Linked DNA regions of Mus musculus. The protein of the gene in region 2 binds, or shares a complex with, the protein of the main gene of each other region. Links are inferred from orthologs where the notes say so. Each region holds a gene or a part of one and is shown on either strand. Other genes may lie near its edges. The genes, in order: Actb, Smarcc1, Dpf3, Smarcd3, Smarcd2, Arid1b and Pbrm1.

Region 1 (4,227 bases), on a different chromosome or scaffold from region 2:
GTGGGAAAGATAACTAGGGGTGTGTTTCCAGTTCACAGCATATGCTGGGGTGATGGTCACCTCTTCCAGACAAGGCCTCAGCAACTTCAAAATGCCCTGCCACCAGCCAAGAACAAGGAAGCTGGCCACTGTAGTCCATATATGGATGAAGCCTTCTTTGGTTTCAACACCTACACTTTGTGAGCCAGTGAACACCTACCTATGCATGCACTGAGGCACGGCAGGCCCAGAGCATCTCACCTGAAGCACCCTTCTTGCCTAAATCCAGCTTTCTGTCACACTCTCCCAGAAGGTGCGTGTCCTTCTAAGCTAAGCTGAGGGATCCGGCCCTCAACCCTGACCCCGTGTGTAGCTCTCAGCCAAATAGCTGGCTTGCTAAGTAGAACACTGGTACTTAGGTGAGGGGGACAGGGGCTGCTTCTCTCTGGAGGATTTGGGGCTCCGGTGACCACCAACTTTTCCCTGAGCAGCTTGTCACTCCCAGAATCCCCACGGCTGGCAGATGGACTAGTGCACAACTCAGCTGTGGCTGCACATAATAAATAGAGGATAGATGGTGGGCCCCAGCCCAGCGATGTCTGGCAGTCACCCAGAGACACTAGCTAACGGCCCAGGCTTAGTCTTGCCTGGGTGTGATCAGGCAGTTCTCCAAAAGTGCCTGACTCCATGAGAAGTTTTGTTTGTTCTATTGAGCACAGTTCCTTTCTAGATCCGGGGCAGGGGATATCTGGAGGCATCTTCTTGCAACACCTCCAGTTATTGGACCACTGGGGCTCGCCCTATGCTTGGGATAGGATGGCCTTGAGTCTCTAAGAGGTCAAGATCCATGAAAACCTCTCCAACCAGAGTTCTGCTTCCAAGTTGAACCCCAACACACCTAGCAAATTAGAACCACAGCAGAAGGGGCCCCCCCGGATCTGGCTTTCCGGCTATTGCTAGCAATTGCTAGCAAGGGGGAGTGACTCTCTGTCCATTCAATCCAGGCCCCGCGTGTCCCTCAAACAAGAGGCCACACAAATAGGGTCCGGGCCTCGATGCTGACCCTCATCCACTTAAGTGCTCGATATCCACGTGACATCCACACCCAGAGGGTCCTGGGGTGGTTGGGTGACCCCCAGAATGCAGGCCTAGTAACCGAGACATTGAATGGGGCAGTGTCCACAAGGGCGGAGGCTATTCCTGTACATCTGGGCCTACGGAGCCAGCACCCATCGCCAAAACTCTTCATCCTCTTCCTCAATCTCGCTTTCTCTCTCGCTTTTTTTTTTTTTCTTCTTCTTTTTTTTTTTTTTTTTCAAAAGGAGGGGAGAGGGGGTAAAAAAATGCTGCACTGTGCGGCGAGGCCGGTGAGTGAGCGACGCGGAGCCAATCAGCGCCCGCCGTTCCGAAAGTTGCCTTTTATGGCTCGAGTGGCCGCTGTGGCGTCCTATAAAACCCGGCGGCGCAACGCGCAGCCACTGTCGAGTCGCGTCCACCCGCGAGCACAGCTTCTTTGCAGCTCCTTCGTTGCCGGTCCACACCCGCCACCAGGTAAGCAGGGACGCCGGGCCCAGCGGGCCTTCGCTCTCTCGTGGCTAGTACCTCACTGCAGGGTCCTGAGGATCACTCAGAACGGACACCATGGGCGGGTGGAGGGTGGTGCCGGGCCGCGGAGCGGACACTGGCACAGCCAACTTTACGCCTAGCGTGTAGACTCTTTGCAGCCACATTCCCGCGGTGTAGACACTCGTGGGCCCGCTCCCGCTCGGTGCGTGGGGCTTGGGGACACACTAGGGTCGCGGTGTGGGCATTTGATGAGCCGGTGCGGCTTGCGGGTGTTAAAAGCCGTATTAGGTCCATCTTGAGAGTACACAGTATTGGGAACCAGACGCTACGATCACGCCTCAATGGCCTCTGGGTCTTTGTCCAAACCGGTTTGCCTATTCGGCTTGCCGGGCGGGCGGGCGGGCGGGCGGGCGCGGCAGGGCCGGCTCGGCCGGGTGGGGGCTGGGATGCCACTGCGCGTGCGCTCTCTATCACTGGGCATCGAGGCGCGTGTGCGCTAGGGAGGGAGCTCTTCCTCTCCCCCTCTTCCTAGTTAGCTGCGCGTGCGTATTGAGGCTGGGAGCGCGGCTGCCCGGGGTTGGGCGAGGGCGGGGCCGTTGTCCGGAAGGGGCGGGGTCACAGTGGCACGGGCGCCTTGTTTGCGCTTCCTGCTGGGTGTGGTCGCCTCCCGCGCGCGCACAAGCCGCCCGTCGGCGCAGTGTAGGCGGAGCTTGCGCCCGTTTGGGGAGGGGGCGGAGGTCTGGCTTCCTGCCCTAGGTCCGCCTCCGGGCCAGCGTTTGCCTTTTATGGTAATAATGCGGCCGGTCTGCGCTTCCTTTGTCCCCTGAGCTTGGGCGCGCGCCCCCTGGCGGCTCGAGCCCGCGGCTTGCCGGAAGTGGGCAGGGCGGCAGCGGCTGCTCTTGGCGGCCCCGAGGTGACTATAGCCTTCTTTTGTGTCTTGATAGTTCGCCATGGATGACGATATCGCTGCGCTGGTCGTCGACAACGGCTCCGGCATGTGCAAAGCCGGCTTCGCGGGCGACGATGCTCCCCGGGCTGTATTCCCCTCCATCGTGGGCCGCCCTAGGCACCAGGTAAGTGACCTGTTACTTTGGGAGTGGCAAGCCTGGGGTTTTCTTGGGGATCGATGCCGGTGCTAAGAAGGCTGTTCCCTTCCACAGGGTGTGATGGTGGGAATGGGTCAGAAGGACTCCTATGTGGGTGACGAGGCCCAGAGCAAGAGAGGTATCCTGACCCTGAAGTACCCCATTGAACATGGCATTGTTACCAACTGGGACGACATGGAGAAGATCTGGCACCACACCTTCTACAATGAGCTGCGTGTGGCCCCTGAGGAGCACCCTGTGCTGCTCACCGAGGCCCCCCTGAACCCTAAGGCCAACCGTGAAAAGATGACCCAGGTCAGTATCCCGGGTAACCCTTCTCTTTGGCCAGCTTCTCAGCCACGCCCTTTCTCAATTGTCTTTCTTCTGCCGTTCTCCCATAGGACTCCCTTCTATGAGCTGAGTCTCCCTTGGATCTTTGCAGTTTCTGCTCTTTCCCAGACGAGGTCTTTTTTTCTCTCAATTGCCTTTCTGACTAGGTGTTTAAACCCTACAGTGCTGTGGGTTTAGGTACTAACAATGGCTCGTGTGACAAAGCTAATGAGGCTGGTGATAAGTGGCCTTGGAGTGTGTATTGAGTAGATGCACAGTAGGTCTAAGTGGAGCCCCTGTCCTGAGACTCCCAGCACACTGAACTTAGCTGTGTTCTTGCACTCCTTGCATGTCTCAGATCTATCCATACAGTTTCACCTGCCCTGAGTGTTTCTTGTGGCTTTCTGAACTTGACAACATTATTTATTTTTCTCTACAGATCATGTTTGAGACCTTCAACACCCCAGCCATGTACGTAGCCATCCAGGCTGTGCTGTCCCTGTATGCCTCTGGTCGTACCACAGGCATTGTGATGGACTCCGGAGACGGGGTCACCCACACTGTGCCCATCTACGAGGGCTATGCTCTCCCTCACGCCATCCTGCGTCTGGACCTGGCTGGCCGGGACCTGACAGACTACCTCATGAAGATCCTGACCGAGCGTGGCTACAGCTTCACCACCACAGCTGAGAGGGAAATCGTGCGTGACATCAAAGAGAAGCTGTGCTATGTTGCTCTAGACTTCGAGCAGGAGATGGCCACTGCCGCATCCTCTTCCTCCCTGGAGAAGAGCTATGAGCTGCCTGACGGCCAGGTCATCACTATTGGCAACGAGCGGTTCCGATGCCCTGAGGCTCTTTTCCAGCCTTCCTTCTTGGGTAAGTTGTAGCCTAGTCCTTTCTCCATCTAAAGGTGACAAAACTCCTGAGGCCATAGTACAAGTTAAGTCTGATTTCTGTCACTCTTCTCTTAGGTATGGAATCCTGTGGCATCCATGAAACTACATTCAATTCCATCATGAAGTGTGACGTTGACATCCGTAAAGACCTCTATGCCAACACAGTGCTGTCTGGTGGTACCACCATGTACCCAGGCATTGCTGACAGGATGCAGAAGGAGATTACTGCTCTGGCTCCTAGCACCATGAAGATCAAGGTAAGCTAAGCATCCTTAGCTTGGTGAGGGTGGGCCCTGTGGTTGTCAGAGCAACCTTCTAGGTTTAAGGGGAATCCCAGCACCCAGAGAGCTCACCATTCACCATCTTGTC
Region 2 (3,500 bases):
GATAAAGGGAGGTCGTGGTTACTCTTCTATACTTTGCCTGTTGGGTGGTCTCTCTTTTTTTTTTTTTTTTTTTGGTTTTTCCTGAGACAGGGTTTCTCTGTGTAGCCCTGGCTGTCCTGGCACTCACTCTGTAGACCAGGCTGGCCTCAAACTCAGAAATCCGCCTGCCTCTGCCTCCCGAGTGCTGGGATTAAAGGCGTTGCTACCACACCTGGCTGGGTGTTGTTCTCTTACCTCTTGGCTAAGTCTATGGATTCAGCAGACCTTACTTGAGAGTTGGTGTGAAACTGAACATGATAAATGATCCTATACAGTTTTTGTGTTCTATCATTACCTCATGATGGCTCTGTCTTTGTGACGATGAAGCTCATAGGCTCAGAAGAGTCCTCTTTCTAAGGCTCTGTCACAGCCATGCTTGATAGAAGAGTCAGCATGAAGATGGGTAAGGACTTTGTTACTCTAAAGCTGGTTTCCCTTTATCATGTGACCAGAAATGTTCCTCTCCTAGCTAGAGTTCTGTACTTTTGAGTCCAAACGTGAGCTTTCTACTTACATCTGTAACTGTTTGCATACTACAACAGCAAGTTGAATGCATGTAATGTCACTCAGTAGCAGAATCTAAGTACTTGCTGAGTCTTCAAAGACAAATATATCGGTGTGTAAGTAAATCAGACATTATTTGTTCTGTCTCCCATCATTAATGTAAGGACACTGAGAAGAGATGGAATTGTCTGTCATTTATCTTATTCTCCTACCTCAGCCCAACCCCATGTGTGGTTTTACCAGGCCAGTGCTTCATGGACTCCCTCAGGGATCCTCCAGGTCAGAGAAAGGCAGACCTTTGAAAGTCCTTTCTGATGTCTGGCCTGTGCCAGGCATTGGATGTGATGTGATATGTGATAAGCCACTGCTCATTTAGAGTAACCATAGTGAATCTGTTCTTTGCCTGATGCTTTCTCAGAACTGCTCCCATTTGTGCTTGTTTAACCAGCTTGCTTGCTTGCTTTTTGAGATGGACTCATGTATTTTAGATTGGTGTCAGACCCATTCTGTCTAGCCAGTGGTGACTTTGAAATCTTACTTCTACCTCCCAGATTCTAGGGTTCCAAGTATCCTAGGGTTCTAAGTATCCTAGGGTTCTAAGTATCCTAGGGTTCTAAGTATCCTAGGGTTCTAACCACAGCACTATTTGTGTGGTACTGGGGACTGATCTCACAACCTCTTGCCTTGAGGAAATATCTTTTACTTTTTTTTAAAGATTTATTTATTTATTTATTTATTATATGTGAGTACACTGTTGATATCTTCAGACACACCAGAAGAGGGCATCAGATCCCATTACAGATGGCTGTGAGACACCCTGTGGATGCTGGGAATTGAACTCAGGACCTCTAGAAGAGCAGTCAGCGCTCTTAACCGCTGAGCCATCTCTCCAGCCCAAGGGAAGCATTCTTACCAGTCGTAATTCATGATCTAGTTGAGCCATGGCCTCAGCCCTGTAATTCATTCTCAATAGTAACTACCTTTCCTATACTAAAGTTGAGAAGTCAGTCAGTGATCTTTCCTCAGTTAAGTGTTTCTTCTACAAAAAAATGAATAAAAGGCTGATCATCAGCCAGTGAGAAGGTGAGGGTGCTTGCCTCAAGTCTGGCTGTCCAAGTTCAGTCCTCAAAGCTCACACACTACCAGTTTTCCTCTAGCCTCCATACTTGTACCATGGTGTGTTTGTGCCCATACATCCACATGCTAAATAAGTCTTTATTTGTCTATGTTCTACAGTCTTGGACATTGAGTTGGTGCCTACCCACCCCCAGTGCATGAATACTTACAGTGCTTTAAATCTCTTTCCACAGGTCAAATACCAGGCCCTGGCTCCATGATGCCTGGCCAGCCCATGCCAGGTCGCATGATCCCCGCTGTGGCAGCCAACATTCACCCTACTGGGAGTGGCCCTACCCCTCCTGGTATGCCTCCAATGCCCGGAAACATCTTAGGACCCCGGGTACCCCTCACAGCACCAAACGGCATGTGTAAGTAGCACAGTGGGACGACATTACCCAGCATCCTGCTTTGGAAGCTACAGATAAGGAAGAAATGCTTTCTTCGTGAGATTAGCAAGCCCATAGACAGTCTAGCCTGCAACAGTGAGGTGTGGGAGATAACGTTTTGGTGTGAACACTCAGGTTGTGTACTCAGTACTGAGATCTGTGGGGAAGCCACTGATTCTGTCACTCATGATTAAACCTGACTAGTTTGAATCTCATCTGACATGCATAGTTCCTGGCTGTTCTTTCCCCTACAAGAACTTTTATGCTGTGGAATTAAAGGTGGTAAGTAGGGAAAAAGTGAAGTTCAACCAGACCTAGTCCAATTAAAGGGTACACTCCTTTAACCCCAGTGCTCAGGAGCAGAGGCGCTTGCCAGGCCGTCCTAGTGTACATATGGAGCTCCAGGTCAGCCGAGGCTACATAGTAAGAATCTTTAGGAGGGGGAGGGGGAGAGGAAAGAGAAAGAGAAAAGAAAGAAAAAATTGGTATAAAGACGGGAGTCAGCTCTTGTAGCTGTTCTTGATACTTAGGTAGTTCCTGCATTGACTTGAAATGAGGTGGTTTAGGAACTGCAGAGGAAGAATACCAGGTAAAGAGGTGCTGGCCACGGTCAGTAGCATCCCTCTGAGCTTGTGTTCGGAGCTCAGGTCATTTCCCCCTAAGCCTTACCTCTACCCCTACCCCAGCCCGAGCCCTGACCTCCACAGAGTTACATGAGAGGCTGTGATCTCCAGCTGGGTAGACATGCTCAGTGAGAAGGATCCAGCCATAAGCTGATTTCTTAAGAAGATCCTGTATGTGGCCAGAAATTAGCTCCTAGTCACAAAACAATAAATAACCAGAATCCTCTGCCTGCTGGGCTGAGATGACTCACAGCACTCAGGAGGCAGAGGCAGGCAGATCTCTGAGTTTGAGGCCAGCCAGTGCTACACAGAGAATCTCTGTCTCAGAAGAGAAAAAGAAAAAAGAAGAAAAAAAAACATAATCCTTGACTGCCTTCATGAGCTTTAATTAGGAGAATGGGTGAATGAAAAACCGTTGATAGGACTGTTCATCTCTTATTGATGAAATGTAACCAATAGCCTTAAGCACGGCTACTATGACTTCCTGCTATAATGGACTGAGTTCTAGAACAATGATCCAAAATACACTCACAAGTTGTCTTTTAACTTTAACACACGCTCTCGCACCAGCAAGCCATGTGCGTTTGCGCGCGCGCATGCGCGCGCACGCACACACACACACACACACACACACACACACACACACACACACACAAGCAACAGCTACAACAGGGAACTTCAAAATCCTTGGAATGCACTGTAATAGTCCAGGAGACTTCTTGCAGGGAAGGTGGCTTCATGCAGAGACGCATCTGAATCCCAGAGGCTGAGACAAAGTCCATACACAGAAGAATGTCTTACATTAACTGAATTTATAGAATCTGGCCCA
Region 3 (4,207 bases), on a different chromosome or scaffold from region 2:
TAAGGCATAGCCCTACACAGGGTGGCATGAAAGAAACCCGAGCTGGCTTCTTCCCAACACCGTAACTACTGCTGCTTATCCCCAGGCCCAAGAGGAAATCTTTGTGTGACCAGTTTCTTCTGTAGGGGGCGTCCGTGATGTTGCCTTTTTAAGACGAGAAAGACTGCTTGCACCCGGAGAAAATGCTAATGCAGTTTGGAGCTCCGGTTCATTGTCAGGAGGGGCACACAAGGATAAACACATAAGCTCTCCAAGCCATTCTCCTCACTCCTCCTCCTCCCTGCCCCCCCCCCATCCATCCCTTCAGCTTGCTGGGTTGCTATGCTTTGTTCTAATTTGGCCCATGCATAATTTATTCACGTGTGTTTTGTTTCCTGATCAGCAACTTCTAGAAACAAATGGCATGTATAAGATGTTTTATTAAACAAGTTGTTTTTATAATAATAATAATAAAGCAGATGGCCTCAGTCTCCCGGTAACGATGTGTGTGCTCCTGCGTGCGGAGTTTTTAAAATGTCCAGGGTGCAAATAGCTTGACCGATTGGGGTTATTATTTACACCCTTAGCCCTCAGGGGAAGAGGACTGGATGCAAAAGGGGGCGGCTAATTATAAGTGACCATTCGACTTCCTCTGAGGAAAGGCAGACAGGGGTGTTGTGTGAGCGTCCGCGTGCGTGAGCCAAGACGGAGTTACAAATGCATCCCACGGCAAGTATTTCCAATTATTAAGGGATACAAGTGTAAATCTGAACTAGTTCTATTAACTGATTGGCCACCTTCTAGCTTCTCTGTTCCTTCTCCCCCACAATTTCTTATACATGCACTCTTCTGTGGAAAAAAAAAAAAAAAGTGGAAAGATCTGGGGGACCCAGGAGTGTGGAGCTCCTGCGCGCGCCCGAGCGTAAGCCCGCTCCCGGGCATCAAGGATGCCGCTTTGCCAATGAAGAACCCTGTACACATAGCAAATAGATCTCTCCGACTTGAGTTTACCAAGCAGCATCAGCTCGGCTACGTGATTTCGGCTGGAAATGAGGAAATTGCAAATCAGCTGTGTGTGGGTTCTGGAGAAACTCCCAGCCCCAGCGGTGTGGCGGCGGGAGTCGGCGAGGAGCGGGGAAGTTACGCCCATTTCTTCTGCCATAAAACAATTTCTCTCTTCGGTGAGACGCTGTCGCGAGTGCAAAGTAGCTGAGCTTCCGAACGAGAACGGGAGCCAGGAACTCGCATCAAGCTCAGCCTCCGTCTTTACAGCAATATCTCATGGAAACTCCAAGATCTGGGACATCCCTGCCCTATTCCTGGTTGTTGGCTGGTGCAAACGCAGCGGGTTCTCCCTACGGGTTTCTTGGCACTAGGAATCCCACGCACACTCTCTCGCCGCCGCCCTGCTGCTCCCCAAAGCGAACGGTGTTTTCGACTCCCATAGCCAGGGACGCTGTAGCGCGCAGCTAAAAGAGCCAAGATCGACCACTGACACACACCGGGAAGAATTGGCACTAAACACCCACGCTCACCCTCCGACTCCCACTGGCTTTCATCAGGGCGGGGAAGTCCTAGTACACCGGGCACCCACTGGGTGCCCACGCCGCGCCGCGATTCCCAAGGATCCACCCTCTGCCAACATGCCTGCCAATAGCGCCCCTTGAGAGCCACACTAGTTTTCCGAGGCCACCCCCGGCTCCGCGATCACCCGCGGACTTGCGGCTTCATATTCAGTCCACCGACTGGAAGAAGGAAGGAAGGAAGGAAGGAAGGAAGGAAGGAAGGAAGGAAGGAAGACCGGCGGGCAGGCAGCTCCGATCGGGAACCGGCCCCCGCGAGTCCTTGCGCAGCCCGCCCCCCTGTGTCCGCTCAAAGTCTCCGGGAGGCACCTGCCCCTCGCTGTCGCCAGAGCCCTCCACCGCCGCCTCCACCGCCTCGGCTTTTCACCCAGAGCAGGCAAGCACACCATTTATAAGACCTGCAGTTTCCCTGCCTCCATATCAACCCCAAGTTAACCCGGATCGTTAATTTACTAGAGCCAGTTAGCCTACAAATACACAGACACACCGGCGACCGCCCGGAGCGCCTGCCTGATCCCCGGCTGCCGGAGTGGAAAAGCCCGGGGCAAGCACCTGGGCCCCAGGACTCCCGGGACCCGCCGCTCCGCGCGCTGTCCTCCCAACTCCGGAAGGTTTACACAAACTCCCTGCGAGAGCTCGGAAGGCAGAGCGAACGCCCTGCAAAACTCCGCAGCCGCTGCGGTCCGTCTGCCCGCCTGGGTGGACGAGCAGCGGGGCCGGGAAGGTTCGGGCTTGGAGTGCAGGGCTCAGCCGAGCGCACGACGCGGTCTCTGCCCCGCGCTCCGGCCAGGCTCAGCCAACCCCGCGCTCTGGCCAGCCTCAGCCAGCTCCGCGCGGCGCCGGGAGAGGCAGGGGACTCCGAGAACCGTGAAGACCCGGGCTGCTCACGACCCCCGCAGCTCCTGAGCCGGCGCCGCCGCTCTGTGTTCCCTCCCGGTCCCGGTCAGCCAATTAAGCAGAACACAAATGTAACAATTTTCTTTTTGTTAATTGCATCTCCTGACATTTCTGCGCGCTGGGAGGAAAAAAAAAGATGAAGAAGTAAGAGCAGGAAGAAAAGAGGAGCCCGGGCGCAGCGGGAGGTGTCTGCGAGAGCCGGGCGCCGGCTGCGCTCCACAAGGCGCCTTTTTTTCATATTGAAACCACGCGGAATATGTACATTTTTTAGTCTTACTTACGCTTTCAGGGGGTTGTGAATGACAGTCGCCATTTTGCTACAATGTAACAGAATATTGTCTGTCTCAGAGTTCTAAAGGTTCGCTCAGGGGAAGCGGCAGGCCAATCAGAGCACGGGATACCGGCCTACCGGCCAATCGGCGCGGCTGGTCGCCAAGTGGGCGGGGCCTGCGTGGTGGTAGTTATTAGGGGAGCTGTCAAAGCCCAGAGGTCACTCCCTTTTGTAGAGCCCGAGAGCGAGCAGGTCTTAAAGGGGCAGTACCGTGTTAGTAGCGCCCTTTTAGATTGGAACTCGTGGAGACAACATGGGAGAGCATTCTCGCTTAGTTGGAGTCCCTACTTTGCTAAATAACTGCAGAGTTTGCGCTCCTGGACAAGAATATTTACATAGTGCCAACAAAACCACTTAACCCCATTCATTAGCTCTGGGCTTTGTAAATCACGGTTTTTAACCCCCGAGCTCCTTGTACACCACCGTGTTGCAGTGCAAAAAGTTGGAAGGCTGCAGTTTCCTCCAAGAAATTACTACTCGTGTTCCACTGTTTGCTAATAATGTTCTGGGTTCCGCGGCTGTTCAATATTCTTGTTCCCGAAGTGTTTTCTTGATCTCAGCCACCTTCCCCGGGCGGTTTCTGAGAACTGGAGAGTCCAGGACAGCAACTCCCTTCCTCCTGGAATGTCTCAGTGTCAGGCTTGCGGACAGCCACGGCTTTTGTTACGTAATTCACGGGTGGTCACTCCGCGCGGTCCCCTACGACCACCGTTCTCCACTGTCAACGATTCACACTGATCTGACATGGCCAGCTTGGGAGCGAAGTGAGACCTGGCGCTTTTTAGGCAGAAGGTTGGGGAAATTTTGAGGCAACTTTAGGAAACGCAGCTAGGGAAGTCAGTAACTATGCAAAAATTGTTAGAGCCTGAGGTAGGTGTTGCCTGAGTCCCCTCTGGGAACGGCTCTGAGAATTCAGGCGTCACCTTTCTGGACTAAGATAGGAGGTGAAAAGAATTTGCAAGTGAATGTTCAGACGTGACTCCTGGCTTCCCCAGTATGCGGCTGCTCAGAATCTGATAAACCCCAGAAGAAACTGAGAGACTTCTGCGAACTCAGACTTCCACGGAGCACAGGGAGACTCGGAGTGGGCGAAAACTCATGAAATCACTTAGAGGGCACAGGCATCGTTAGCTTATAGAAGCCGGGCTATGGCCCCCTTGGCTGTTTAATCAGGTCAAATAGCTGGGGGCTGGGAAGTGAAAAGGAAACCGAGAGATGCTGAATTGCAGTTCACAATTCCACCTGCTCTCGCCTTTTACGACTCTCGATGAATAAAGTAAAATACAATTACAAAGCAGTCCAGAACTTTCAGATTCCAGCTCCATTCACTATTAGAGTTACAGATAAGCCCAGCAAAGCTGAGTGAGTCTGTGCGTGCAGACTGGAAATATTTAACTCTTTGTTTGCCTAGTAGGGT
Region 4 (4,212 bases), on a different chromosome or scaffold from region 2:
AATAGACTGGGAGAGCATTCCTCTGCTCCTTATCCTGACCCATGAAGACATTCTGAAGGGCCAAAGGTTAGGGTCCCTCGGTGCAATGGGTCTTGAGGGCTCAAATTGTATGTGTTCCCACAAGTTCCCTCAGGCATTGTCCCTCTCTCAGCGGCAGCCCCAGCTAGCCCATAAACCTGACCCTTGATTGTCCTGAAACCCGCGGACTCCTCCTTCAGAAGGTGGGGACAGGCGTGGCTTGTGGAATGGGCGGAGCTTGGGCTCAACCTAGGGATCTCAGGATTTGTCCCCTCCTTTCTGTTCTTCCTCCCCTCCAGGGATGGCCAGTTCTATCCACACTGTCCCATTTAGGGTTTCCTCGTCTTCCTACCCCACACTCCTGCTTTCTCTTCGGTTCTGGGGCGGACTTCACCAATCCCGAGCTCTCTGGGTCTCCGCGCCAAAGCCATCAAGCCCTGCTTGCCTCACCCTTTCCTCCTACCCACCCAAGTACCCACCCTGGATCCGCGCCATTCCTCACAATGTACTCCTCCTGTTCTCATGAGTCCAGTCCATGTCCCCTTTTCGGAAATATTTCCCCTATTGCCCTCACTTTCTCGCACAGAGACAAACAAAGACTCACAAGCCCAGAAATAGACTCCAACAGAGCTGAAAGACACAGGCCGTGTCCTGCCCCGCACGCACGCGCGCAGGCTCGGCGGCTCTTGTGAAGGGAAGCACACAGACTGGGCGTTTGTCAGTGCACGCACATAAACATCCACACCCACAGCCTCTGCGCCGTGCCACAAAAGGGTGCAGACACACGGTGTGCGAGACAAGGGCACACACATCTGCGGGCGCCCGGGAGCCCGCCTAGCCCGGCACACCCACCGCGCTGGCCCTGGGACAGGAGCAAGGCCTGCTTCGGGCTCGGGTTCCCCCCCAGATTCCTTCCAGCAAATGTTTCCCTACTTGGCCTGCCTGGTCCCAGGGGAAAGGGCCTCAGAAATGCTGCAGGAGCCACTTGGGGGAAAAAAGTTGGAACTGTCTGTTCCCTGCCTGGCCATGTCGGCGAATTCCCTAACCGAGAAACTATTTGTGGCGAGGGCAGAGTGGCTGGCGAGCCCCTTGTCACCTCCCGTGGTGTTCCCTCCCCGAGCCGCCACCGATGGGCCCCGGGCGGCCTGGGCGCAGCGCAGCTGCCCATCGCGCAGCCTCCGGGCAGATCGGCTCGTCTCGCCGCTTCTGTGCGCCGCTTGGACCACGCGGAGTGCACAGGAGGGCCGCTCCGTCCCCGGCGCGTCGCAGGCAGACCCCGGGCCGCCGGACTATTTCTGTCTTATCAGTGCAGGAATGCGGCAGCCGCGGCGGCGGCGGCGGCGGGCGGGCGGCGGCGGCGGCGTGGGCCGTGGGCCGTCAGGGCAGCCCTGAAGGGGCCCCCTCCCCACTCCGCTCGAGTAGAAGTGTGAGAGAGCCCAGCAGGACTCAGAGGGGAGAGTTGGAGGAAAAAAAAGGCAGAAAAGGGAAAGAAAGAGGAAGAGAGAGAGAGAGTGAGAGGAGCCGCTGAGCCCACCCCGATGGCCGCGGACGAAGTTGCCGGAGGGGCGCGCAAAGCCACGAAAAGCAAACTTTTTGAGTTTCTGGTCCATGGGGTGGTGAGTGGGGGAAAGTTAGCGGGGGAGGGTGAGCGAGCTGGCTCGGGCTGAATGGAGGGATGATCGGGAGGGGCCGCCGGCGCGCTCCGGCTCTCCCACCCCTTTGGTTGAGGGGCGCACGGTCACGGCCCAACCCTGGGACCTTGCGGGCGCCCTGGCATCCGAACACGTCGCCAAGCGGTCGGCTGGGGATGGGCGCGCGGCGGCCGGGAAGAGAGGCGTCGGCTTGGGTTCTTCTCAGGGGCAAGGGGTGGGATGTGGGCACCGTGCCTCCCCCAAGAGGGGGGTCCCCTCTGTAACTGACATGTCTCACATTCTTTTACTGGTGGGCTCAGGTGTTACCCCTGCCCTGGGGGTGGGGGTGGGGTGGTGACTCGAACACACAGCTAGGGCAGGGCTGCCTGTTGTCCCTGTTCATCCTTTGGGACAGGGTCACTCCGACTAGGTCTGAGCAGCTAGGAGCAGGTGACCTAAGAGCAAAAGCTCTCTGCTGAACAACCTCTGCATCCTAGCAGGAGGGCCTTGAGGACTTGGCCCTGCTGTCAGAGCTGAGAAGGGTCTACTTGTGAGACCTCAAGTTAAGCAGTCAGAAGATCTCCTTGGCAGGCTCAGCCACCAGAAGTTGATGACCTTAACACCTCAAAGGTGTGAAGGAGGGGCAGGAGTTGGGGACATGAGGCCTAGAAACCAAAGGGATAGTACTATACCGTTCTAACACACACACACACACACACTCACACACTCACGAAGACATGTGAGGAGTCTGAGGGTACCCAGGAACCTATTGAGGTGGAGAGCCTGCTGTGAGGAGCTCTAAGCCTGGGCATATGGAGGGAAGAGTCAGTCATATTTACTATGGCCAAATTTGGTTGTGACTCCAGGAAGCACCATTTCAGTGAGAGGCAAGGGCCCCCAGAATCTGACCCTTATGAGGCTGTTACTGATGGCAGGCTCCTGGGGGCCCCTAGAAGCCTTCTTCTCAGGGCCTCATTAGACCCAACAGTATCAGTGGCCTTGATGAATAGGAGAGTGGCTGATAGGGAAGAGGGCTTCTCTGTGGCAGCCTGTTCTCTAGCCATAGGGATCTCTGGGGTATAAATTCCAAGGCAGCCCTATGGGTTAGTGGAGTTACCAATCCTGACCTAGCTGCTTAAGAGTAGTTGCTTTAAAGACTACCATCCAGTGAAGAGGCTCTGCATATGGAATTGAATGTGGTCAACTTGGTAGTTCGGTTCTTGGATGATTAGAGTCCCCTCTATAGTGATGGAGAATGGCTAGGCTTGAGCTTCCACGCTGGTGACATTGGTGCTGTGAGTGACAGAGTCAGGTGGAATGGGGGAGGCAAGTTCAGGGACAGGCCTGTTTGACTATAGAAGAGATGGGCAGAGACAGCTGCTTGGCTCTGGGTGGAGACCTCAGAGGTAAGCAATGTAAGAGGAGAAAGGAAGCCCAGGGTTAGGGTTAGGGCTTCTTAATCCAGGGGGCAAGATGAGAAGGGTGTGTGTGTGCATGGCCTTCTGTAGCCCAGGCTGGCCTCAAATTCACTATATATCAGAGGGTGGTCTTGATTTTCTGCCTTCACCTCAAGATTAGGATTATAAGTATGTGCTATCATGCCAGGCGGTGGTGGCGCACGCCTTTAATCCCAGCACTCGGGAGGCAGAGGCAGGTGGATTTCTGAGTTCAAGGCCAGCCTGGTCTACAGAGTGAGTTCCAGGACAGCCAGGGCTACACAGAGAAACCCTGTCTCAAAAAAAAAAAAAAAAAAAAAAGTATGTGCTATCATGTGCAGTTTATTTGATGCTGGGGATCGAACCCAGAGCACCACATGTATTGCACAAGCCCTTAACCAAGCTACATCCCTAGCCTGAGATGGTAGTGTTTAAATAATAGGGGTTTCATTCCCCTCTCCCTAATACCCTTCCTGGTCTAGGTCCCCAAGCCTCAGCCCCCTTCCTGGGCTTGGACAAGTGAAATCTGAAACACTCCACTTGCATTCACATCTCATCTCTTTTGATTGACTGCCCAGAGCTGGTGGCCAGAGAAAATCAACCTGCCTCATTTCCCTCCAATTTCTACCCTTTCTGGGATATTGTGAGGAATAGGTTGTCTCTGATGTGGGCAGATGGGAGGGGGAAATGGATACTGCTACAGATGCTGCTTCCTTCACATCCCTGCACTGGCAGTCCACTTCTAGTCCCGTTCCCCACTTGCCACTCAAGAAAACCTGGCAGAGTTTGATGACACCAGACCCGCAGGTCCCCTTGCCCAGTCTCTTGTATCATCTTGGGAGAAATAAAATTAAAGAGGCAGGTTAAGTCAGTGGGTGTGGAGACCTGGAGTTAGCTGTACCAGTTATGTTTGAGATTGAGGTGCCAAAAGCAGGGGGCTCCGAAATGGAGATAGGGGCTCAAGTACAAAACACATCAGACCCAGAAGTGGGGTGTGGAAATGGAGAATGAGGGCAGGAGATCAGCCCCTCCCTCACCGCAGCGAAGCAGCGGGGAGCAGGGCCCGCCAGGTGCTGCCTTTGCCAGGAAGAGCAGGGTGACCTTGGTGAGGTCGCTGTTTTCTTTGA
Region 5 (3,500 bases), on a different chromosome or scaffold from region 2:
TGAAAGAACGCTCACATCTGTTCTCAGTCTAAGTTCACACAGGCCTTCTCCCCTTCCAACTCACATCATCCAGCAGTTTCCCCTCTACTCGAAGCTCCCAGGAGGCCACCTTGTCTGCTGCCGGGGTTCCCCCAGGGGTCCCCGCAGTTCCCGCATTATCTCCATCCGCCTTGCTGGGGCTGAATGTATTGGAAATATAGATCCGAAGTTTTCGCTTTTGCTGAAAAGGAAGAACAAGAGGCAGGAGGACTGAGTGAGTAGCCATATGTAGCAAGACACCATTTCAAAGCACGCTAAAGTGAGTGTGCGCTCTACTGGTGGACAGCTCCCTGTGTGAGTACTGCTCAAGCCCAAGCTCATCCCTAGAGAACAAGTCCAGGAAGGAAAACAGTTTGGGAGAACTTGGGGTAGTATATACCGTCAGAGGCTTCTTGATGGCCTCTTGAATCTCCATCCGCTTGCGAGCGATGGTCTGGTCCAGCTTCCTCTCGAAAGCTAAAAGATCCATGTATGCCTGAGACTCTGGGACAAGCTCCCGGATCTGCAGGTTGAGAAATCCGATGGCTTGTTTTACCAGCTCTAGTTCTACCATCCTCCCCTCCTTCTCCACTCCAGGACTCCCACCCTGGCCAGCCAGACCTGGGCAGGCCTCCCAACACACTCACTCGCTGAGGTAGAACCTTATCTGCCATCTTCCTCCTCTTTAACCTAGTAGGAAAACAGAAACCCATTTAAGAGGTTAACAGTCCAAACTCACGATCTTCAAAACCCTCTCCCAAATGGCCAAGAGCCTCCTTGTGGTCAAGATAGAGAAACTTAACACCCAAGACAAGATAGGCAAGGTATGAGAAATAGGCTTACCCTCGGCGCTGGGCAGGCATCGGGGGCTGGGCCTGAGGCACAAGCAGGCGTTTTCGGAATGGATCCATCATGGTAGGTGGCATGCCAGGTCGGAGCGGAGCAGCTGTGCCAAATGGGGAACCGGCAGGAGGTCCCACCTGCAAGCCAGCCATGGGCATCCTGCTTCCTGGTGACATGCCAGGACGCTGAGGAAAGTGGAACAGTGGAGGGACACAGGTCAGTGGCGGAGCCCTCCGAGGTCCATAGCCCATACCCTCCATCTCTCTCTCTCTCTCTCAAATGGGGAGACCAGGAACAAAGGGGAACAGGCGCCTGAGCCCAGCGTGTAAACTACACCTGCCCCGCCCCTGCAACCGCCCTGGCAGCCTTGCCAACAAATGAGGCAGCCAGAGTCCATGGGTGGGAGGGGGAGGAGTGTACCTCTTGCAGAAGGAAGGGCCTGAGGGACTTTTTAGTACTAATCAACACCTTTCCAGCTCCAGTATGCTATGTCCTGCACCCTGGGATCAGCCAGCTTCATGGTATTTATAGAGTCCTTAGATAGCCCACTAGAGACCCCTTCTTCCTTTCGCCATCCTGAAGGAAAAACATTACTCCGGAGACCAAGGACAACGCATAGCAACCCAGGGGAGTCCAGGAGGCTCTGTGAAGTCTGCTGCCTGGTGGCTGATGGGAAGAAAGGCAGTAGGGATAGCAAGCCCATTAGGCCGCAGCACCCCAGGTGAGCAGGTACAATAGGATGGCTCGGCCATGTCACAACTTGTGGGGATGGCCTCAAGAGAGTACAGACACCATCTGGTCACCATATGGTCCCTATGGCCCTAACACAACCTGGACCCATTGTCCCCTCCCCCACCCCACCCTCCCCCTCCTTTCTTATTGCCATGCCCCTATCTCTATGTCAAAAGACTTTCAAAAAAAGAAATTATGGTTCTTGGGTGGCCTGTGGGAATGGGAACAGCAAACATCTGGACTCTGCCCATGGTCTCTGCACCACCTGGCAGCCAGGCCGCTGCTGGTTCAACTTAACCCGTGCCACCCCCAGTCGCAGAATGCAACGGTCCTGGGAGGCAAGGATACAGAGTCACCAGCAGCATCAGTCTGGGTGGCACAAGCAGCCTTGACTTCCCATCCAAGGCCCAGGTTTCTGCCGTTTCCTGGGAGCCCTCCACCTCCCAGCTCATCCACATAGCTGCTGCCTGAAAGGCCTGTTTGGCAGCTCTGCCTTGCACACACAGTCCCTGGCAGCTTCACAGGGCTGGCCCCGGGGCCCAGGTTATGCAATCAATCAGTACAACCAGACAACCGGGCCAGCCTGGGTGGAGATTCACACTGAGTTAAAAGACACCCCCCCCCCCAGCCCCCACACCCAAGCATCCTGGAGATGAGTCCCTGTAATTTCTTTATCTAGCATTAAGGAGTCAGACGCATGACCCAGAGACAAGGGAAAGGGGACAGAAGCAGAGCAGGATGACAGTGGCAACTGAGGAGTTAAAAGTGGGAGACCCTGGGACCTTGGGAGTCCTGCCACAGCCTCTCCTCATCAGGAAGAAATTCATCAATGCTGCTGAAAGGCAGAAGACAGCCTGTTTCTCTGCCCTAATAAGCCAGAGCAAGAGATTATAGAAGGGGGGAGGGGACAGAAGAAAAACCTCAGGTGGCCACAACCTGAGACCCCCATCATCACTCCAGACTTGAGGTTTTCCTAGAGTAACTGCAGATATAATCTGCGGTGCTCTGCCCTCCCCCCAAAAAGCTCTCCACTGGGGTTCATAAAACCTGTAGTACGGCTGAGCCCTCCAGGAAATCCTGAGGCAAGGCAGCCCAGGCAGGCCTGGGATAGGCCCCACCCAGACATCTGCTCTAGACTTCTGGGGCTCAGGCTCCAGGCCCCTAGCTCACCCACAGCCTCAGGGGAAGGCTGCTCACAATTCAAGTCCTAGTTTCCTCTTTGTCAAGCTCTACACCTGGGCTTTGAAGAGCTAGTAACTCCTACTTAGAAACAAAACAAAGTCAACCGCCACAGATTCTCAGCCTCTCTGCCAGCCTGCTCCACCATGGGGGTAGGCAGGCCTGCTTACATCCCCAGGACACCAGAATACAGTAACTTCCACTTGGTCAAGCACCAACCCCACATTCTAGGCTTGATTTTATAACCACCAAGACAAGGTTAGTAGGCTAGGCCTGATTCTGCCATCTCTGGGTTAAGAATGTAGGGTTCCAGCAACTACATAATGGCTCACAACCATCTACAGCTAGCATACTCATATACATTAAATAAATAAATAAATAAATAAATAAATAAATAAATAAATAAATCTTTTTTTTTTTTAAAGAAAAAAAATGTAGGGCTCAAGTAAGCATGCTCTGCCGGGCATGGTGGTACACGCCTTTAATCCCAGCACTCGGGAGCAGAGGCAGGCGGATTTCTGAGTTCGAGGCCAGCCTGGTCTACAAAGTGAGTTCCAGGACAGCCAGGGCTATACAGAGAAACCCTGTCTCGAAAAACCAAAAACAAAAAAAAACAAAAAACAAAAAAATAAAAAAAACAAACAAACAAAACAAAACAAAACAAAACATGCTCTGCTCTCCTCCAAATCTGTAGCCCTGGTCCTTCTGATAGCTGCCTGAACCTAAGA
Region 6 (4,107 bases), on a different chromosome or scaffold from region 2:
GCTGCTTAACCTTCACTTAAGTCTTTCATAATTTCTCAGTTGGATGAAGTTGTGGGAATTAAGCCGATGGCCTGAAATTCAGGCGCAGAGGCCAAGGTTGTGAAAAATTACATAACTCCTGAGAGAGACCGAGTGCTTTTGCCCGGCCTGCCTGAGTGTTTCTCTTCTCCACCGGCTCCTCGCCACCTCTGAGGCCCAACAGACAACTTTGCTTCCCAGCCCCTTCTCCCTCTTTTGTCTGCTCTTCAGACTCGTTTTCCACCTTCGTACCGCTCCCTTTAGACGTGAAAACAAACACAGGGCCGCGCGCGGGTTGGCAGGGAGACCGGAGGCACGAGGGGACCGAGCAGCTTCGGGCCCCGAGCGCCGGCAGCCGGTTCCCCCCCCCCTCCCCTCGCTCCCCCGGGCCGGGCCCTCCGCGCCAGGCCGGGCGAGACCAGCCGGGTGAGCGGGGCGAGCTGGCGGGCGAACGTGCGCTCAGCGGCGGCGCCCGGGGCCGAGTCCAGTCCGCGTTTTGCGAGTGCGCAGCAGCCCTCGGAGAGAAGCGGATAATAGTTGCTCCGGCTCGCTCGGCTCCCTCACGCCGCGCTGGGCCCGATTAGGCTCAGGCAAGTCGTGCATTTCCCCCCCCCCCCCATATCCGGGTTAGAGAGGGGGGAAAAAGAGAGAGAGAGAGAGCGAGCGAGAGTGAGGGAGGGAGAGAGAAAAGTTTCATTGCAAGCGGAACTAAAAAACTTTCCGCCCGTTCAGGCCGTAGCGGGCGCGAGCCCCCGAGCGCAAAGGCGCGCCCCCGGCGGGCGGCCCGGGGCTGCGGGGGGTGGGGTGGGGAGGGCACCGCGCTTCCCCGCGGGCCGCGTGGATGCGCGCAGGAGGGGCGGCCGGCTGCGAGTGGGGACATTGTCTCCCCCCACCCCGCCCGGCCGCGCCACGCCGCGGCGATCATGGCCGCGCGGGCAGCAGCGGCGGCGCGGGCGCGGGCGGGCAGCGGCGAGCGGCGGGCGCCCTCGGGGCCGCGGCCGGCGCCCGGGGCCCGGGACCTGGAGACGGGCGCGCGCGGCGCGGTGGCGGCTCCGGGCCCCATCCTGGGGGGCGGCGACGGCGGCCTGAATAATGTGCACCACCACCCCCTGCACCCCCGTCACGACCTGAACATGGCCCATAGCGCGAGCGCCGCGGCGGCCGCCAGCTCCAACAGCGCGCAGAGCGGCCGCTCCGAGGCGGCTCTCAAGGAGGGTGGAAGCGCCGCCGCGCTGTCCTCCTCCGCCGCCGTCGCGGCCTCTTCCTCCTCGGCGGGCCCCGGCTCGACCATGGAGACCGGGCTGCTCCCCAACCACAAACTGAAAGCCGTTGGCGAGGCCCCCGCTGCACCGCCCCATCAGCAGCACCACCACCACCATGCCCACCACCACCACCACCACCATGCCCACCACCTCCACCACCTCCACCACCACCACGCACTACAGCAGCAGCTAAACCAGTTCCAGCAGCCGCAGCCGCCGCAGCCACAGCAGCAGCAGCCGCCGCCACCGCCGCAGCAGCAGCATCCCACTGCCAACAACAGCCTGGGCGGTGCGGGCGGCGGCGCGCCTCAGCCCGGCCCGGACATGGAGCAGCCGCAACATGGAGGCGCCAAGGACAGTGTCGCGGGCAATCAGGCTGACCCGCAGGGCCAGCCTCTGCTGAGCAAACCGGGCGACGAGGACGACGCGCCGCCCAAGATGGGGGAGCCGGCGGGCAGCCGCTATGAGCACCCGGGCCTGGGCGCGCAGCAGCAGCCCGCGCCGGTCGCCGTGCCCGGGGGCGGCGGCGGCCCAGCGGCCGTCTCGGAGTTTAATAATTACTATGGCAGCGCTGCCCCTGCTAGCGGCGGCCCCGGCGGCCGCGCTGGGCCTTGCTTTGATCAACATGGCGGACAACAAAGCCCCGGGATGGGGATGATGCACTCCGCCTCTGCCGCCGCCGGGGCCCCCAGCAGCATGGACCCCCTGCAGAACTCCCACGAAGGGTACCCCAACAGCCAGTACAACCATTATCCGGGCTACAGCCGGCCCGGCGCGGGCGGCGGCGGCGGCGGCGGCGGAGGAGGAGGAGGCAGCGGAGGAGGTGGAGGAGGAGGAGGAGCAGGAGGAGCAGGAGGAGCAGCGGCAGCGGCAGCAGGAGCCGGAGCTGTGGCGGCGGCGGCCGCGGCGGCGGCGGCAGCAGCAGCAGCAGCAGGAGGAGGCGGTGGCGGCGGCTATGGGAGCTCGTCCTCGGGGTACGGGGTGCTGAGCTCCCCGCGGCAGCAGGGCGGCGGCATGATGATGGGCCCCGGGGGCGGCGGGGCCGCGAGCCTCAGCAAGGCGGCCGCCGGCGCGGCGGCGGCGGCGGGGGGCTTCCAGCGCTTCGCCGGCCAGAACCAGCACCCGTCGGGGGCTACACCGACCCTCAACCAGCTGCTCACCTCACCCAGCCCCATGATGAGGAGCTACGGCGGTAGCTACCCCGACTACAGCAGCTCCAGCGCGCCGCCGCCGCCGTCGCAGCCCCAGTCCCAGGCGGCGGCGGGGGCGGCGGCGGGTGGCCAGCAGGCGGCCGCGGGCATGGGCTTGGGCAAGGACCTAGGCGCCCAGTACGCCGCTGCCAGCCCGGCCTGGGCGGCCGCGCAACAAAGGAGTCACCCGGCGATGAGCCCCGGCACCCCCGGACCGACCATGGGCAGATCCCAGGTAACCCCCGCGCCCGGCCGGGCCTGCTTCCGCCCGGGCCTCGCGCCGCGAGCCCGACTTTCTTTCTTCGCCGGGTACTTTTCCCGGCGGTTGGCGGGGGTGGCGGGGGCGCGGCGCCGCCGGGCCGGGGCCGGAGCTGGCGGGGCTGGGGAGCCGGGGTGTCCCGCGCCCTTGCTGCGCGCTGCGCTCCCGTGCCAGGCCCGGGACGGGACCTCGGTGCCCCAGGCCGCGCCCGCCCGGGGAGGGCTCTCGGGGCAGCGGGCTCCGGGGCCCGGCTTGACTCCGCCGGCGCCCACGGTGTGCCCTGAGTGGGCGCGGGGAGAGAGGAACTTTCTCTCTTCGGGCCTCGGTCGGTTTCCCATTCCCCTTGCGAGGAGGAGGCAGGGGGAAAAAAAAAACCAAAAAAAAAAAAAAAAAAAAACCCAAAAACCGAGGTTAGCTTTGTGACAGCCGTGGCTGGTGGAGTTTGGATGTTTACCAGCAAGAATAAGACCCAGATTTACAACGGGCGGAGGCGAAATATTGTAAAATAACATCGATTCGTTCCTAAGAATAGCTGGGGAGAGATCCATTATGGGGCTAAGGGCTCCTTGGAAGGAGTCACCTTCAACCGGGAGGCGATGTTGAAGGAATAGATTCCGGATCGATGGAACTTATTTTGATCATGGGTTAGGTTTTCCTTTTTTATTCAGCAAACCTAGTAAGGTAGTAGGCCAGAGAAAATGGGTCGTTGTGGATCGTATTTGAGTGGATTTTCTTGATTTTGCTGTCTCCCAAGTCCAACAGCGTTGTTAGGAAGTGTCTTGCGCTCTGGCTGTTTCTTGCTAGTAGGCTGAGCCTAAAGACTGACTTGATCTCTCCTTTGCAAGGTTTGGAATTTGAATTGTGGAGGTAAACTGGCTGTAATAGTCTCCAGACAGCTGCCTCTGAGTTGACATCTAATCTGCCATCTGATTGGCTCCCCTCTCACCATTGGGCATTTAGCACTGCTGATGTAAATAGAAGTGCGGAGCAGTACAGTCACAAAAATTCCTGACACAAATAATAACTGAACTCTATTCCAAGCACATGGAAGATTGAATACTATTTAGAGCTTAAATTGTTATGAATCATAGTTAGTAATAAAGGATTGAATACAGAGAAACATGCTGTTGTCCAGTATTAGGCATTTATAAAACTTGGGTCTTCGATGACAAATCTTACAATATGAACATTACATTTATTGTGGGCTTTAATTGTGGACTGAAAATAGGAGCATTGGGAAATAATTAATGCAAAGATTGGACCAGTTTGGGCTTCGTCAAGCTTTTTTATAAAAGTCTGCTTTTTACAGATCTAATTGAATATATTTTAATCCTACCAGTTTACAGTTTAATGCATTAAGATTTCAGTATTCTGAAAT
Region 7 (3,500 bases), on a different chromosome or scaffold from region 2:
AGATGCCCTTGTACTGCATAAAGTCCTCCTTGAGACTCGGAGAGACCTGGAGGGAGATGAGGATTCTCATGTCCCTAATGTGACGTTGCTGATTCAAGAGCTCATCCATAACCTTTTTGTGTCAGTCATGAGTCATCAGGATGACGAAGGGAGGTGTTACAGCGACTCCTTAGCAGAAATTCCTGCTGTGGATCCCAACTCTCCCAATAAACCTCCCCTTACATTTGACATTATCAGGAAAAATGTTGAAAGTAATCGGTATCGGCGACTTGATTTATTTCAGGAGCATATGTTTGAAGTATTGGAACGGGCAAGAAGGATGAACCGGTATGTTTTCAAACCCATCTCTTTATGATAAATACATGTGATTTTTAATGCAAAACAGATGAGAGAGTTATGCTTTGATAAACTTTCTGCTTAGGTACATGGTTATAGTAGGTAGCCTTCCTCTTTTTTTTCTTCAAAATATTTATTTATTATTATACATAAGTACACTGTTGCTGTCTTCAGACACACCAGAAGAGGGCGTCAGATCTCATTACAGATGGTTGTGAACCACCATGTTGTTGCTGGGATTTGATCTCAGGACCTTTAAAAGAGCAGTCAGTGCTCTTACCTTCTGAGCTATCTCACCAGCCTGTAGATAGCCTTCTATCCTGAATTCTTGGTAGGCAAAACATATGCTCCCCCCACCCCTTTTACAGTGTTGGAGGGGTCAAAACTTATAAAGAGGGAGTTGAACGGTGGTCACCTTTAACCCCATCATTCAGGAGGCAGAGGCAGATAGATCTCTTGAGTTCAAGGACAGCCTGGTCTACAGAGCAAGTTCCAGGACAGCCAAGACCACACAGAGAAACTGTCTACAAAAAACAAACAACAACAACAACAAACTTGTAAAGAGCACTACTGAGTTGTCATCATAAGTGCCGGTGAGAGGGGCAGGACTGAAGCTCTTGCATAATGCAGAAACCTAAAATGCAGCCTTTCGCAGAAGATGTCTTTTAAAGGATCAATAATACAGTCTGTAATAAAACTAAAAGTAGGATTTTTTTTTTCTTTGAAAATTAGTCTTAAGAATGTTTTAAATGAATTAGAGAGCTTGGAGTTATTCTTTGAGGATAGACTGGTCTAAATCCATTCACTTTTTTAAAAACTTGCTTATTTTTATTTTATGTGTACTGAGATGGTGTGCCTGTATGTATGTCTATGCAGCACATATATCCAGTGCCCACAGTGGCCAGAAAAGGGAGTTAGTTTCTTTGGGACTAGAGTTACAGATGGTTGTTACCCACCATGTGGGTGCAGTAAATTGAACCTGGGTCCTCTGGAAGAACACCAGTGCTCCTTCTCAGCCCCCTCAATCTCTATTTCAGTTACTTAATAAGGCCTTTTGTTTTTTTATCTCATTTATCAATTTAAGAGCATAGTGTAGGACTATAAATGGTTTAAAAGAATAAATTTAATTTACTAAAATTCCTTCAGCTTTTTAGCCTGCGTATCTTTGGCACTTACTGGAAGAATACCCAGTGTAATCCAGCAATCGCAGTATAAGTTCTATATGCTCTTACAGGCACTTGGTTAAATTGAACTTACAGATAGTAAATCCTGCCCTCTTCTGAAGTACTGAGAGCTAGAACTTTAGACTGTTTAATTGCATCTAGGAGATCTTTGCTCTAGACCGTGAAGGAAAAGTAAATATTAATGATTGCTTTTCCTAGTGACAACTTTTGTAAAATATCATGGTAAAGCCCTTCGTGAAGATCATCTCTAAGTCATCTGTACTTGTCTATGGGACTGATAATCTTTTCAGTTTTTATTTGAAGAATTGGAGATGTGCAAGCAATAAAATTCATAATCTAACATCTAGTAGGTGATATGCCTTGGCTTGTTTCCCACTGAGAGCACTGCTGCTGATAGTTACCAGTTATGGAACACAGACATGAATGATAAGCATTGTTGAGCTCTATATTAAAGAGCTTGAAATCTCATGGTTAGACTGATACTTAAGGAAATGTGAAGTAGCCTATTAAAACCCAACATGATCACTTTCAACATGATCATGTAAGAAACTTTGTGGGCCAGAGTTTACCTAAAAAGGCACAAAGTATCATAAAAGAGTTGGAAGATGAATAGAGAGGCTGATACTCTGCATATGATAAATGGTATAAAGAAAGTGAGCCAGGCGTGGTGGCGCATGCCTCCAATCCCAGCACTTGGCAGGCAAATTTCTGAGTTCAAGGCCAGCCTGGTCTACAGAGTAAGTTCTAGGACAGCCAGGGCTACACAGAGAAACCCTGTCACAAAAAAAAAAAAAAAAACCACAAAAGAAAGGGAAAGGTTAGGGTGTAAATATGCTGTGTTTCAGAGTTTGAGGTGGATCCTTGATTAGCATGTTTAGGAAATGGTTCCTTGTGAAGAACTAGGGATAGAAATAAAGAGGAGAGTGGAGGCATCTTACAGTCAAATTCTATACGAGGTTTCATTCAAGAAATTTTTGTTGGGTGTTGATACTAGTTGATGAACATGCTCTAGTTCATGGGATGTAGCAGTACTTTAATAATGAAATTTAAGCTGGGCGGTGGTGGCACACGCCTTTAATCCCAGCACTCGGGAGGCAGAGGCAGGCAGATTCCTGAGTTCGAGGACAGCCAGGGCTATAAAGAGAAACCCTGTCTCGAAAAACCAAAAATAATAATAATAATAATAATGAAATGTAAATGCCACTCCTGTGGTTCACAGTTGCTTGAGTCCAGTGAATCTTCTAAAGAGCACATGTCTCATAGATTATGGGGAACTCTGTTAAGAAGTACACAGATTGATTTTTTTACGAAATAAGATCTTTTTATTCTCCCATTATTGATATGATAGGCTTTTGCTTTTGAGGGCTGGAAGATACAACCCATGACACATATAGAAACAGAAATCCTTATAGTTTATCTCATGCCCTGAGTTCTGTTGAGAAACGGAACAGGGGCCTGGAGCATGGCTCAGCAATTAAGAGGGCTAGTTACTCTTCCCAGAGGTCTGTGTACACCAGCACTCACATGCTGGTTCCTCCCCATCTGTAACTCCATTCTGACGGCACCTGACACCCTCTTCTGGCCTCCATAGGCACTAGGCATGTAAGTGATACAAAGATATATGTACAGGGAAAACACCCATAAACCTCAATTTTTTAAATGTTTAAGAAAGATAACAAAAGCCATTTTAATTTTTGTAAATGAAAATAGTATTGGGACTTCTTGTGGCATAAGAATCAATAAAAAGAGCTAGATGTTTAGTGTGTAAAGTTCTTGCCATGCAAGACCTGAGTTTAGATCCCTGGCACCCATATAAAAGCCAAGCATGCTGGACAGGCTTGTAGCTGCAGTGCTCGAGATGGAGGTAGCTGAGTGTTGACAACGGAAGACCCCAGGAACCAGTCAAGCCAGTCAGTACAAGACCCTGTCTCAGGAAATAGAATAGGAAGTAGGAGACACCTGACCTTGACCTCTGATCTC

The links.
Region 1: Smarcc1 (region 2) and Actb share a complex: the UniProt entries of both Homo sapiens proteins name them as parts of the BAF complex. The link is inferred for Mus musculus from reciprocal best matches to the Homo sapiens genes SMARCC1 and ACTB.
Region 3: Smarcc1 (region 2) and Dpf3 share a complex: the UniProt entries of both Homo sapiens proteins name them as parts of the BAF complex. The link is inferred for Mus musculus from reciprocal best matches to the Homo sapiens genes SMARCC1 and DPF3.
Region 4: Smarcc1 (region 2) and Smarcd3 share a complex: the UniProt entries of both Homo sapiens proteins name them as parts of the BAF complex. The link is inferred for Mus musculus from reciprocal best matches to the Homo sapiens genes SMARCC1 and SMARCD3.
Region 5: Smarcc1 (region 2) and Smarcd2 share a complex: the UniProt entries of both Homo sapiens proteins name them as parts of the BAF complex. The link is inferred for Mus musculus from reciprocal best matches to the Homo sapiens genes SMARCC1 and SMARCD2.
Region 6: Smarcc1 (region 2) and Arid1b share a complex: the UniProt entries of both Homo sapiens proteins name them as parts of the neuron-specific chromatin remodeling complex. The link is inferred for Mus musculus from reciprocal best matches to the Homo sapiens genes SMARCC1 and ARID1B.
Region 7: Smarcc1 (region 2) and Pbrm1 share a complex: the UniProt entries of both Homo sapiens proteins name them as parts of the SWI/SNF-B (PBAF) chromatin remodeling complex. The link is inferred for Mus musculus from reciprocal best matches to the Homo sapiens genes SMARCC1 and PBRM1.

The regions. Positions count from the first base shown.
Region 1 is NC_000071.6:142,903,955-142,908,181, reverse strand, and holds the start of Actb (actin, cytoplasmic 1), read left to right. Parts: upstream 1-1,427; 5' UTR 1,428-1,530; intron 1,531-2,489; 5' UTR 2,490-2,495; coding exon 2,496-2,618; intron 2,619-2,705; coding exon 2,706-2,945; intron 2,946-3,399; coding exon 3,400-3,838; intron 3,839-3,933; coding exon 3,934-4,115; intron 4,116-4,227. UniProt on the Homo sapiens protein: Actin is a highly conserved protein that polymerizes to produce filaments that form cross-linked networks in the cytoplasm of cells.
Region 2 is NC_000075.6:110,233,024-110,236,523, forward strand, and holds part of Smarcc1 (SWI/SNF complex subunit SMARCC1), read left to right. Parts: intron 1-1,853; coding exon 1,854-2,030; intron 2,031-3,500. UniProt on the Homo sapiens protein: Involved in transcriptional activation and repression of select genes by chromatin remodeling (alteration of DNA-nucleosome topology).
Region 3 is NC_000078.6:83,484,937-83,489,143, forward strand, and holds the start of Dpf3 (zinc finger protein DPF3), read right to left. Parts: upstream 2,801-4,207; 5' UTR 2,773-2,800; coding exon 2,741-2,772; intron 1-2,740. UniProt on the Homo sapiens protein: Belongs to the neuron-specific chromatin remodeling complex (nBAF complex).
Region 4 is NC_000071.6:24,599,203-24,603,414, reverse strand, and holds the start of Smarcd3 (SWI/SNF-related matrix-associated actin-dependent regulator of chromatin subfamily D member 3), read left to right. Parts: upstream 1-1,412; 5' UTR 1,413-1,556; coding exon 1,557-1,634; intron 1,635-1,650; exon of another isoform or gene 1,651-2,279; intron 2,280-4,212. UniProt on the Homo sapiens protein: Involved in transcriptional activation and repression of select genes by chromatin remodeling (alteration of DNA-nucleosome topology).
Region 5 is NC_000077.6:106,266,473-106,269,972, forward strand, and holds part of Smarcd2 (SWI/SNF-related matrix-associated actin-dependent regulator of chromatin subfamily D member 2), read right to left. Parts: intron 1,161-3,500; exon of another isoform or gene 1,122-1,160; coding exon of another isoform or gene 1,047-1,121; coding exon 862-1,046; intron 709-861; coding exon 666-708; intron 542-665; coding exon 419-541; intron 221-418; coding exon 65-220; intron 1-64. UniProt on the Homo sapiens protein: Involved in transcriptional activation and repression of select genes by chromatin remodeling (alteration of DNA-nucleosome topology).
Region 6 is NC_000083.6:4,993,788-4,997,894, forward strand, and holds the start of Arid1b (AT-rich interactive domain-containing protein 1B), read left to right. Parts: upstream 1-1,307; coding exon 1,308-2,705; intron 2,706-3,137; exon of another isoform or gene 3,138-4,107. UniProt on the Homo sapiens protein: Involved in transcriptional activation and repression of select genes by chromatin remodeling (alteration of DNA-nucleosome topology).
Region 7 is NC_000080.6:31,067,638-31,071,137, forward strand, and holds part of Pbrm1 (protein polybromo-1), read left to right. Parts: coding exon 1-327; intron 328-3,500. UniProt on the Homo sapiens protein: Involved in transcriptional activation and repression of select genes by chromatin remodeling (alteration of DNA-nucleosome topology). Required for the stability of the SWI/SNF chromatin remodeling complex SWI/SNF-B (PBAF).